3 linked regions of the Drosophila melanogaster genome follow. The protein of the gene in region 1 interacts with the protein of each later gene in a pairwise test. Each region holds a gene or a part of one and is shown on either strand. Other genes may lie near its edges.

Evidence for each region.
Region 2: the proteins of CG31797 (region 1) and Uro interact in a two-hybrid assay, tested with the Drosophila melanogaster proteins (one large-scale study listed by BioGRID).
Region 3: the proteins of CG31797 (region 1) and CG12857 interact in a two-hybrid assay, tested with the Drosophila melanogaster proteins (one large-scale study listed by BioGRID).

What each region holds. Positions count from the first base shown.
Region 1 is NT_033779.5:19,258,852-19,263,884, forward strand, and holds CG31797 (uncharacterized protein), read right to left. Parts: upstream 3,390-5,033; 5' UTR 3,283-3,389; coding exon 676-3,282; 3' UTR 581-675; downstream 1-580.
Region 2 is NT_033779.5:7,778,280-7,781,915, reverse strand, and holds Uro (urate oxidase), read right to left. Parts: upstream 1,832-3,636; 5' UTR 1,799-1,831; coding exon 1,225-1,798; intron 1,156-1,224; coding exon 671-1,155; 3' UTR 501-670; downstream 1-500. Other genes in the region: CG7164 (uncharacterized protein), read right to left, coding at 1-4, 65-281. UniProt on the Drosophila melanogaster protein: Catalyzes the oxidation of uric acid to 5-hydroxyisourate, which is further processed to form (S)-allantoin.
Region 3 is NT_033778.4:14,757,407-14,761,572, forward strand, and holds CG12857 (uncharacterized protein), read right to left. Parts: upstream 2,197-4,166; 5' UTR 2,151-2,196; coding exon 2,077-2,150; intron 2,020-2,076; coding exon 1,269-2,019; intron 1,214-1,268; coding exon 716-1,213; 3' UTR 501-715; downstream 1-500. Other genes in the region: Trs31 (TRAPP subunit 31), read right to left, coding at 1-144, 200-375.

The sequences.
Region 1 (5,033 bases):
TCCCCACAAGTCTCTGTCCTTTGTCTGCGAAATTCAATGCGTGTTTCCAGTATATCCTTTGGCCATACATAGCACCACATTGCAATGGATTTGGGCAAGGGGTTGGGGTAGTATTTGATAGCTTTCTGTGGACTTTCCTCCCCCAAACCCCTTCACGCACTGCTGCCTAATGGCCTTTAATTGAGCGCTGGGAAAACGTTCAAGTGTTTGCGGCTGTTGAAAAATTTTTGGGAAATTCGATATTGAAAATAAAGTGGCTGTAATGCTGGGCCTTGGCCAAAAACACACCCAAACCCATTGATTGCCTAAGGATTCTGTCATTTTTTGCTTGCGATTGACACTCACAATTTGTTTGCTGATTGCTCTGCATTAGCAGAATTATGAATGAGTGGCAAAGTGTCTAACTTTTTACTTTTTTACTTACTTTTTTAAATGTTTTGGAGTGGAAAGTCTGCCATCTTAAAAGGCTTCTTCAGAGGCTGTTCAAAAAACGCATTTCGACTGTAAACTAACAAAAATGTAGAGTATGTATTCGGGTTTCATCAATATGGAAAAGCTGTCTTGCATAAAAAACTTTTTTATGTCTTGTTTAATATAAAACAGATACTCCAAGGAGCCAAACATATTCCATACACACATAGGTACTTTCTCAAACACAAAGACCTCCGATCCAGTTCACGCCAGAATGCAATCGCACATTCGCTGGCAAACGCGTTTCCGGAGATTCTCGACGCGCAGGAGCAGTCTGCTGTGATCCTCGTTGTCCTTGGAGCCGGAGAGAAGATTCTGCAGCTCCTGGACGGCTCCCAGGCAATCGCAGTGCTCGGCGAGTCGGGGATTTTGGCACAAGAAGTTGGAGCAGTAGATCGGATCGCATTGGTGCCTGGGCGCCCGGTACTCTGTCTTGCATCGATCCCGGATGTATTCCTGATGGCGCATCTGGCGGTAATAGGCACGCAGCTGGCGCTTCTGCTCCACACGCCTCATTTCCCGCATGAAGGGAGCCTCCTGTTCGTTGAAAGGGCGATCCATGAAGTGACAGATCTCGCACTGGCAACCTGCCGGTGGACAAGGTGGACAGACTTTCTTGGGCTTATCCTTGCAAACTTTCTTAATCCTCTTCATTTTCTTTTTCTTGGGCGGATCCTTTAGCTTACAAGTCGGAGCCGCTGGCTCGTCCCTGACAATTTCTAGGGCTGGAAATTCGTAATCTTCCACCCTAGTTCCTCTTTTGATAGTTTTATCGAACTCCATATCCACGGGGATATCGAAGAATCGCGAGGTCACTTCTGGCAGGTTGCTGTTCGGTTTATTTTCTTCAATTTTACTATCTTCGTTTGATTTATTTTTGTTCTTTTTATTGTTTGGAATTTTAATATCATCACGGTCATATTTTTCATATTCTAAATCCATGTCTTTGATTTTATCTTCATCTTTATATTTTTCTTTGTGTTTTTGTTGCTTTTTTTCTTTGCCCTTTTCTGGAAATTGATCCTTTCCTCTGTTTTTGTCTTCCTTTTGTTTTCCAGTTTCATGTTCCTTGTTAACTTCTTTTTCTTTCCCCTTTCCTTTTTCTCTTTCTTTTTCAATTCCTCTTTCCCTTTCTTTTTCTTCTTGCTTTCCCTTTTCTTCCCTTTCTTGTTCTCGTTCCATTGGCTTATCCTTTTCATGTGGTCTTTCCCTTTCTTTAAATTTTTCTATTTCCTGTTCCTTTCCAAGTTCTTTTTCCTTGTTATTTTCATTTTCTATTTCGTTTTCTTCTTCTTCCTTTTCTCTTTCTTTTCTTTCGCCTTCTTCTTTTTCTCTTGGTCTTTCAATTCCTTTATAATTTTCTTTATCTCTTTCCCTTGCTTTTTCCTTTCCTTTTCCCGTTTCCTTGTTCTTTTCTTTCTTTTTCTTTACCTTTTCTCTCTTCTTTTCTGTTTCTTTATCCTTGCCTTTTTTCTTTTCTTTCGCCTTTTCCCTTTTTTTCTTTTCTCGTTCTTTTTCTTTGTCCTCTTTATTCTTGTATCTATCCTGATTTTTATATTTATTTTCTTCTTGATTAAAATTTACGACCTTGTCTTTATTTTTATCGTTGTTTTGATCACCATCATTATCATTTTCCTTAATTGAAACTCTTGGCTTATCTTTATTAACGAATTGATTTTTATCCTTGTCATTTTCTTTGTCCCCTCTATCTCCGTTTCCATCATCTCGCACTATAGTTACTTTATCTTCCTCTCCTGGTTCGCGATTTCCGTGTCCAATTGGATTACCTGGATCGCCCGAAGACTTTGTGGGCCTACTGGGTCCTTTGGGTATTTGACTGTCACCTCCTCCTTGATTATCCTTTCCATGGGATCTTTTCGGCTTACAGCACTTCTCATAGGGCTCGCAAAGCGGATCTGGAGAAGGCTTTGGCTCAAAGCACTTAATGATTCTACTATACAGCTGATCGTAGTTCAGTGGTTCCGGACTCTTGTGTTCATCTTTCCCTTGCGGACAATGCCGAAACTCATTGTTATTGGGATTAGGATCCAGCTTGCGCTTGGCCCACTCGTACTGGGTGCACCCATGGCGAGGCTCCAAGCCATCCGGGGGGCAGTACCACTGGGGATGGCGCAGACCACGTGGGTCTTTTTTTCTTGCTGGCTCAATGTTAGAAACTTGATGTCTGGAAATGCCGGTGTACATCTGGCGTGCCACTCTAGTGGAATCGTGAGGAACTTGATTATGATCAGTGCAGTATAGCGTCCCGAAAGCCTGTCGCGGATCCAGTTGCTGTTGAACGTGGGGAATCTGCTGTAGATCAGACTGCAATGCGTGGCGGTTTAAGACAAAAGGCTTGCAAATCTGAGGGGTACGGTTCTTTTGCGCTAACGTATCCCTTGGGGATGGCTTTTTATCCTGTTTAGGGATCCTCCGCTGAGTGCCGCCGCCGTTGACCTTGACCAAGCAGGCGGCCACCACCTGGTTGAACACCACCGACTCGGGCTGGTGGGTGGGCGATCCTACGCCATAGAAGCCCAACGTGTCCTTGTGAGGACTTTGCTGCCAAGCGAGCAGCACGTCGTCTTTGACCATGTCGTAGGGTCGCCCACTGCCATCGGCCTCGAGGGTGTTGGCCAACCGTGTGGTGGCCTCGTTCTTGTTGGGGTCGCAATGTGGCTTTCCTTTTCGGATCGAGGGATACGTCTCCGCTCGTTGGGAGCGGTTGTCCTGCCGGTCGTGCCTTCCGAGCTGTGGTGGATCGTTTTCTCGGCCAGCAGAGCGACGCCGCTGCAACGCCTTCCTGCGCATTTACGATGGGATCGGATTGGACCACTCTTAATTTTCATTTACTAATAAAATTTTGTCGTTATTTATATTTTTACGCCAAATTTGAGGACTTCCTGAGAGTTGAGAGTTTTAGCAAGGTCTCAGAGATTAAACGTTGATACATACGTGCCGATTACATTCATTAACTGTAAAAGTGGCTCAGGACTTGAATTGGTAGCCAAATAGAACATTCGACCCAATGCTTAAATCCAGTAACGAGTACGAACTTCTATCATTTTTAAAACGGGACCTGCCCAGAGAATGCCATGCGTTTGCAGCCATCCAAATGAACCTCAATTAAAGTTTGCACACTTTGGTTTTTTGGCCCAGTTTTAGGCCACAATGCTGCCCCAATCGAGCCATGTTGGCCATACAATTTCCCAGCCTTTGCCACATAAATTCGCACACGAAAGAGTCTGACAAGGCTGTGCTATTTATGGAGCATTTCCTGTTCAAGCAAAAAGGCACAAAATGCCCAACTCAGCTGCTTTTAGCACTGGTGGTTGGAAGTGAATAAAGTACACTAACACACACACAAGCACACACAGAGGGGCATAAATCCAAAATTGTCTTTTGTCGCATAAATATTTTACTTTGGGCATTTGGAGCGTCCTGGCGACCAGAGAAGCAGAAGCAAGGACATGGACAATAGGCCAAGCTGGAATAGGACATGAAACGACATTATTTCTTATTATTAGAACAGCGCAAATAAATGAGACTCGGAAGGCGGGTGGCGGACGGATTTCCCCACGATGGCACTTTGTTTGTCCTGCCAGCACCGCAATTCCCACATGTCTGTCTTCATAAATGCTTTATCTGCGGCTGGCACACACACACTCTGGGTGGCTCAGTGTGTTGGCTTTTGTAATTATGTGCATATAATAAAGTTGACCTAAATAAAAATAAGCGCCGACTTTAGCGCGCTAAACAAAGGCCATGCACACGGGGGACAATGAGGGGGAAATATTGGCCATAACTACAATGGTCATATTGTGTAGCAATACTGTGTGATCCGAGCAGTTCATTAAATGATAAGCCATCGCCATCTGGACAACAATTGAGGGATCAGGCGATGCAATTTCAGGCCGCTTCGAGAAACAATCACTGGTAATTGGGGCTTTAAGCGGCGCGTGCTGCGCAGTCATGCAGCATCACATGTAAATAATCATAATTGATGAAGGAGTTGAGTGAGTGGAGGAATTTACGCTCCTTTCACGCCCTGGGCATCTGCACAGAGACATGTCTGCTTGGCGAATTTATTGCCCCAATATATTAGAGACCCTTCGCGCTTTCTCGCCAGAAATAAATTCATAAATTCATAAATTCAGCATAAAATGGCAGCACTCGCATATGCTCACTCCGTTCGCGAATTTGATTCCCTTTCTGCTGAATGTGCTTCGGCGTTATCCATTAAATGCGATGAATCAACTGTTGGCCACCATAAACAATCTTTGACTCAGTCTCTGGCACTTTCTTCTCTCTCGCGCTCTGCGCTCGCTTCTGCCATAAAACGTCAGCTGGCGGAAGCGGAAATTTATGCTCGCCATTTTGCAGCGGACATGTTTGTATTTGCCTCGCCATAAGTGTGACTGTGCGTCTGTGTGTGTGAGTGCCCTCGTCAGCGTGTGTGCGTGTGCGTATATTTGACTTCCTGTTGACGTGTTGAAGATGGCCGGCGATGCCGAGTCGACCACTAAAAAGTCGGTAACGCTTCCCAAATGGCGTGGAAATAT
Region 2 (3,636 bases), about 11 Mb from region 1:
ACCGCTAAGTAAATGATTGATTGGTTTTGAAAGTTTCTGGTTAGTTTTTAGCACAACAGCTTACACTTCATGGTCGAGTGAATATTGGCCACCATATTGTCGTAGGTCTTTCTGGTGTCGGGCAACAGGTAACGTCCTGGCAACTGACTCGATCTTAGCGAGGCCTTGATCCTGTCCCTCCTGGACAGCTGCGACAGCCTGGTCTTGGCGCTCTCCTCCTGTTCCCAGTCCCTTCGCAGCTGGGTGGTCAGGATGTGGTGCAAGGCCAGTCGATTGGTCATGGTCACGCTGTTTGTGGCTAAATGGTTATTTGCTAATTTCGAATTTAGATTGCGAATTTTGACTGCCAAAGTGGTCGAAAATTGTGGAATTTATTTTATATATTTTTTTTTATGAACGATGCCTCATTTTAGGATTTTAGAAAATAGTTCTGATATAATTTGGATTTATTCAGCCAAGGCAAGGGTGATCTCGAAATATGGTTTTGCAATCGATTTATTCATTTTTACACTTTATTTTTTATTAGTTTATTATTGTTTAAATAAGAAGAACGCAGCATATGATTCGTTTGCTTAAATAATTTAAAATACATATATAACTTCGCCGCATGCAATTATGAATTGGCTAAATTGATTTAGATTGATTTAGATTTACTACATCAGAGATCGATCTACAGGTGACTATTGATGTTCTTCCGGGCCAATTGGGCATAGATGGTGCCATGTGGCTTGTCCACTGGGATGAAAACTTCATTGTTGTCGCCGGGTGCAATCTTCTGGAAGGGCTTCGTATCGAAGTTGAAGTAGTGCTTGTTTGGCATGGTCATCGAAATGACCGACACCTGCGGCAGGACATCCAGGACCTGTCTTTCACTCAGATACAGGGTGTGCTGAACGGAGGGCGAGGACACGCCCACCTGCGGATCGCCAGCAAAGTTACGAATGATTATGTTTTTGACCGTTTGCCAGGCCCTGAGGAAGTCCAAGTTCTCGGTATCGGAGTACTCCCAGGAGCAATCCACCACGGTGCTAAAGATGCGATCATACTGATCTGGCAGAGATCTGAACTCATCGTTCACGAAGTTCACGAACGAGGATTGGGTCGTCTTCAGCACCCGGAGACCCTTGATGCCCGTGATGACCGTTTGTTTGGGATCTAAAACAGTAAAGGAGGTGATAATTTAGTAGTTTTAAATATTATTGCTTTAGTTATGTTTGACTTAACCTGTTCTCCTTATAACCACATCGCAGTAGTGAAGAGCGGTGGGCGTGAATATAAAAGCGTGATTGTGCAGTGATCTGTTGTCAATGGAGCTGAAGTCGCAGTTCCCTTGGACTCCGTTCTCGCACTTCCCATTGACGTTGGTCCTGGTCTCCTCCTGGCAAACTCGCTGCCAGGGATACGCCTCCACATGAACGTGCGCCTCCTCCACGTGCGAGTATTTGTTAATAAAGTGCCTGGCCAGGAGCAGAGCAAACTTCTCGGGACTTTCAATGCCATGCTTTTTCGCCAGCAAATAGACGGTGTTCTTCTGCGAATCGGTGGCCACGATGTCCGAGTTGTTGCCCTGGTAGTAATCCTTTTTGCTGTACAACTTCAGGTGAGTGCCCACCTCGAATTCCTGGATGGCGTGCACGGGTCCGTTGCGGCTGACATGCAGCACCTTGACCGCATCCTTGCCGTATCCGTGATCGGTAATCTCGTACTGATACGGCTTACCATGCTCATCCATGCCGGCGGAATTCTTTGGGGTCTGGTGGTTAGCCGCAGCTGGCTGTCTGAGGGGCGTGGCAAACATTGTGACTGCAATCACTCTCACTTTGATACTGATGATGCCATCAATTTCCTTGCCGCCTTTTATATCAGAACACCTGGATAACAACACAAATCTTTGTGTAGTTAGGGATTTTTTTTAGCGCATTTCGTAGAAAGCAAGTGGCTGGGAAATCGTATATCATCACTCTCACTTAGAGTATTAAAGGTCTAACTCAAATTACGACTAGTAGCGCTGATAATCGCGGCCTGGTGCCAAGTAAACATGACCAAGACTCAAGGCTATGTTTTCTATCTCCAAAACTTTGCATCTTGTTTACTTCACACTCATCTAACCAAATCCTTATTTTTGCAATATTACGTAGGAGATAAGTCGCAAATGCCGTTTTAACCATTAGCATCACTTTCGGGGGTAAATGAAAATTGGTAAATAATTTTTACAGATCACATCTCTGAATTTTATTCTTTTTTAAAATCTTAATTTCTCTCTTATTCACGCACGAGTCACTATTATTATTAAAACCTTGAAAATGTGTGCGTTGAAAAGATACATTTATTATTTCACAACATTGGAAAATAACAATTATTTCACCATAGAAAAAAAATATTAATTTACGTCTTAAATTTGATGTGACACTTTTGTTTATTAAATTTTAGGAGACCATTTTTAATATCCTTGATAATGGTCTTAAAAAATACACATGTTTAAGTTGAGTTTCTGGAATAATCTAATGTGACAGAATGTGTTCAGATGGATTCGACTGATCAAAAGTTTAGATATATAATTTATAGAATCGGAAACGCTTTACTTTACCAGTTACATACTGTTCAGTAAGCCTAGTATACCCTTTTAGTAAAGGGAATAAAAGGTTGGCATAGCAACTGCAGATCTGAAAGAGTGCAATTTGTAATAAAATGAAAGCTGTATTTGCAAAGAGTTTATCATTTCCGTGTGAGTCTAAACTTTTTATAAACCATTATTCTATTAAAAAACAAAACAATTTTATTATGTAGTGGGTCATAAGTACGTGTGAGCCAATCTACATATGTATATCAAAATATTTATTAACTAACCTATAAAATATAGAATGGTTTTTTCAAATACTCATAAACAGTAAATGACAATACACATATAGATACTATTATATATCACTATAAGATAGGGCGTTTAGTCTCGATTTATTAGCTGGAGGATTTAAACATACCACTTCAGCTTAGTGTTAAGTCAGTTTTATTATATGGATATAGAAAATGTCAGATGTTCTCTGCTATCTTGTGGTGGTCAAATTGCTCAGCAGCCAAATAATCTACTCTCTGCATAAAATTTCTATCTACAGAAGCTGTGGCTTAGTGCTAATCCAGTTTAATCTCATACATACTCTGGGTGAAGATATTTCAAAAGATATGTGCGCGCTTTTTTAAGATATACATTTGACATATATTTGTTTAACACGGTTTTTAGGAGCGTGCCTTGTATGCATAATGGTCTCCCACGATCCGAAATAGCTATATTCATATGTTTGTTGGCAAGTTATGTAAGTTCCGTTTTTGGTTATTGGCTTAAGATAAACTCTATGTTGGAATTGAAGTGTCATTGTTTGTTAAGCGAGAGTTTTATTTAGCAAAGATAATAATATTCGTGTTTATATAAAGGTTTTGATTTCACGGTTAAGTAAATTTGATAATAAAGTTTACTTTCGCATAAGCACGCGTCATAAAGTTATTTGGCTTAGTTTATGCATTATATTGTAGTACTCTACTGATATGATAAACTATATGATCTTGAAGATGATGATATGATTGTAAACGAGTAGAGAACCCCTGCCACATGAATCATCCCCAAAAGATGTACCGCCTGGAATT
Region 3 (4,166 bases), on another chromosome or scaffold:
TCTTTGCCAAAGAGATTCTTCCACACCGTGGTCTTAACAAAGAGAAGCATTTGGGTTAGTTTTGTTTCTCGCTTGGAGCTGCGCTCCCTCACGAAATACAGGTCGATTATGCGGGTGCCTACATCTTGACCCAGATCGTGGAGTCTGAAAACGCCTTGGAATTAACGAATTAATCGCAAAAACTTAGAGAAACTCCCACCTTGTTTGCAATTCTGGGACTGTAAACACTCGGCTCTGCGAGTACTGGACGATTTCGCTGAAAAGCAGCGCCACAATGCTCTGGGAAACCTCCGTTTTGCCCTTGGATAGTGGTCTGTCTAGGATGTTGCTGCGCGGACGCATCGAGGATATTTTTAGGGCCTCCAGTTTTTCCATTTTCCTGATAAATGTATCAAATTATTTTCCAAAACAATGCAAAGTGTGCACGCCACCCTATCTGCCCGAAATGCCAAAGAGCGTTGCAGAAATGGTCACACTTAAAGTTGCGACAATAATACAATAAATATTAATTATATTTATTAAACCACTTGCTTTTTTTTTAAAATGTTGATGTACATTTTAAAAAATATATTATTAAAAATATGCTGATTTGTTTCATAAATATCAAATGAACGAAGTGTACAATGTATAACAGAAAAGTGTGCCAAGTTGTTATACTAGCACAAACTGAAGCCCGCAAATTTGAATTCTAGTCGTTACTATTCAAACTCAATAGTTAATCGGCAACAAAATCGTCCGATTTTATCTTCCTTGTGCTGCAACAGTCAATCTTTTTACTCGGGTCCTGAAATATCACCTGAGACCAGTGATCTTTGGAGCATTGTTGTAATTCCGAAAGGTAATCCTCGAAGTGTTTGAAACGAATTTCCCGGGTATTGGGACAACCGACGCCGTGATAATAGCTGCACAAGCTATCGCATATCCAGTTTCGCTGTCCGGAATCACTTGCGTATTCCTCACTCTGTGCGTCATTGCCCTCCAAGGCATCCTCGTACATGCGCGACGTTATTCTCGATATGGATTCGTCGATCTTGTACTCCACCTCCGGGTTGAAAATCAGCTTCATCACCAACGGGTGATCCTCCTCCCGTCGCGCATATAGTAGATACCACAATGGCATCAGGTTGAATCGAATACAGGACATTAAACGACGTACGTGCACTTTCCTCTTGTTCCAATCGTGACCCAGCCATCGAACAGCTATAAAGAAAACCTAAGAAAAACATATAAAATGCAATAATAACTATAAATATTATGTTGAACACCACCTCAATCTCGGTGTTCACACAGATTTGATCGGATTCGAGCAAAAAAATCAGATGGGAGGTCGGCAGATCGAGGAAATCCCTGGTGGCCACAAAGGTGAGCAGAAACTTGCGGATCCTAGTCAGCATCAAATTGCGAACTACATCCATGGCGGGATTGTCCTTCGACTCGACGTATAGGACACATGCCGTATCCTCGTTGTAGTATTCCTCATCATCGAAATATTTCCAACAATGCGCCGCCAGACCAGAGATCCTCAAATAAGTGGCGGCCACATAGACCTCCACAATGTGAGCCAGCTCCAGGACGGGCTCATCGCTCAGCATCCATTTGTAGGAGAGCATAAAGGCCTTCTGGGACACGATCTTCTCGGGCAGGGTGACCAGCAGCGGAATCATCTCCAGTTCACTAAAGAAGCGAGAGTACACCTGCAGCACGATGAAGTGGCAATTGAAGTACATATTGTTGATTTCTATCTGCACAGTGGTCTTCAGATGGGACTCGAACATGTAGCGCAGCACCGTGGCCAGCCGATCCTTGCAAGGCTGCTCCAGTTTCAGCCAGCCATCGGCATCCTCGAAATTATGACCGAACTCGAAGAGGGAGCGATTCAGAGACGTGGTCTCCTCGACACCATTCTTTGATATCTTACTGAACACTCTATGCATTTCGAGATCCTCCGCCTTCGATACGAATCTCGCAATGGAGTTTATTTCATCATTGGAGGATAACTTCTCGGCACTAAGCTTGGGACTGCAAGGAGAAGGAAAATATTTTAAGATTACTCCGACTGGTTTAAGATTAACTCACTTGGTAAATAAAACGCTGCAGGTGAGTTCCTGCCTCTCGCATTTCTGTCCGTTCTGCCTCATTAGCTCCTCCATTTCGAAATTTGGTTTTCTTGTTTTGGATTTTTGACTGCACGGCTACTGTGTTTTTAAGTGTTTTAAAAAAAAAACACACTCGTAGCTTTCACATTGTTTATTAAATTGTGTTTTATTGTTGGTATTCTTTTGTTCACATTTTCAAATACATTTATATGAATAAATATATCATTTATATTACTATTTTCTTTATCCTTTTCTGCAATGACACGTTTCTTTTCAATTTAATATGAGTATATGCGGCTATTTTAACTATTTTTTCTGATTTCGATGTGAAACAATAAGGGTAAGAAAATGATACAAATTGCAAAAGGTGATATTTTATTTTAGCTAAAGTAATAATTCCGCCTTTTGATCTAGTTTTATTGTGTGTTTGAGGACGATTGCAATAATAGTTAGCTATTTTTCCATTGTGTAAGCGTGTAAATTAGAGAGTAATATAAAACGTAATTGTAAATTATAGATACATATTTAACATTTTGTACTTCTTGTTGTTGAGTGTTTTGTTTCCGTTTCCGTTTCTGTTTGATCCGTTCACGGTTCATCTTGCCTTATATTTTCAAAAATTTGCATTCCATTGATGTCCGTTTTCAGATCTTGGCTTGTATTTTCTGAGGTTTGTATCAATGTGTTTGCTGAATTTTGCACATTTAATAACAATTGCCGTATTTAGTTAATTTTTACAATAATAATGTTGCTTTTTAATGTGTTTTTTTTTTGCACAACCTTTGCTTATTTTTAATAAATATGCATTTTGTTTTTTAGTTTTCGTGTGAATTTCTTTCTTTCATGGGTTTTCTCACCGACTTAGTACAACAATAATTATATAGTAAGAAATAAATTAATGTTTTTTTTTTTATTATTTTTATATATATATATAGCTGCATATATGAGTTTGTTGACTTTTTGAAAACACTTAAATTGTTTGTTTTTTGTTTTTGTTTTATTTTTACCCCTTTGCTCAAATGCCTCCTCTTTCGGCCATTTTATAAACGGCCCAAAGTTGTTGGCATTTCAATAAAAATTACAAATTGCTTCGCATTCTAGAATTATTTAGTTGCAAAAGATTTCCAATCGAGCAATGCTGCGCTCTTTGTTTGTCCATCGACTCTCTAATTCTAATTGGTTTCTCATTCTATTTCAACGTCTGAACAAAAGATTTTGGAAAACAAACGTTTTGAGTTTGGGGCAAAAGGAATATTTTGAATCTTCATGAGCCCTAAGAAGAGACAAAAACATCCTTTTTATAAGGCAACCGAATGGGTACATAGTTCTGAACTAAAGCACATTTAAGTAACAATTGCCGAGCATAGCGAACGCACAAAACTTGAGCATTGCCGCAGACTCTTTTGCTAGAGGAGTAAATCGAATACAATTTGTAATTCTTCTTCAGGTTCGGAGAAGAACGGCTCGACAGCCGTGTCGTCGTCGTCCACTAATTCTTCTGCCGAGTTGTTGCGTGTCTCGATTTTTTTTTTTTTATTCATTTGCGCATCAGGTTGCCGTTTGTTTGAACTTTTCGTGTGAGTTTTTGAGCGCGTGACATTGATTAACAAATTGGAATCGCGCAGAGAAAATCGCATTTAAATATATTTAGTTCTCGTTTCGCCTTTGCCTTCGCCTTGGCCTTTTAATACTGTTCTCCAATTTCGAATTGTAAACAAGCAAGTGTAAAATAGCAAAAAACCCTAAACAACTAAAACTAAAACAATCATTGTATAATATTTTGATTTTTCAAAAAAATGTGTGTTCAGTTACGAATAAAAACAAATAGCCCGTTTTTACAAAACTATAATTAAGCGAGAGCACTAAACATAAGTTACAATTTTAAAAGTATATTAAAATTAGATACATAATCCTTCCTGCTCTTTTGTATATACAATTAATTATGGCAATTCAAATGGAGTATACCGAAATGATACTAAAATCGAACCCCAGACCCATTTTGGCAAACTGATTTTCAAGCTGAATTGCTTCTTACGCATTCTTCTTTCACCCGATTTGAAAAAGCTGTGC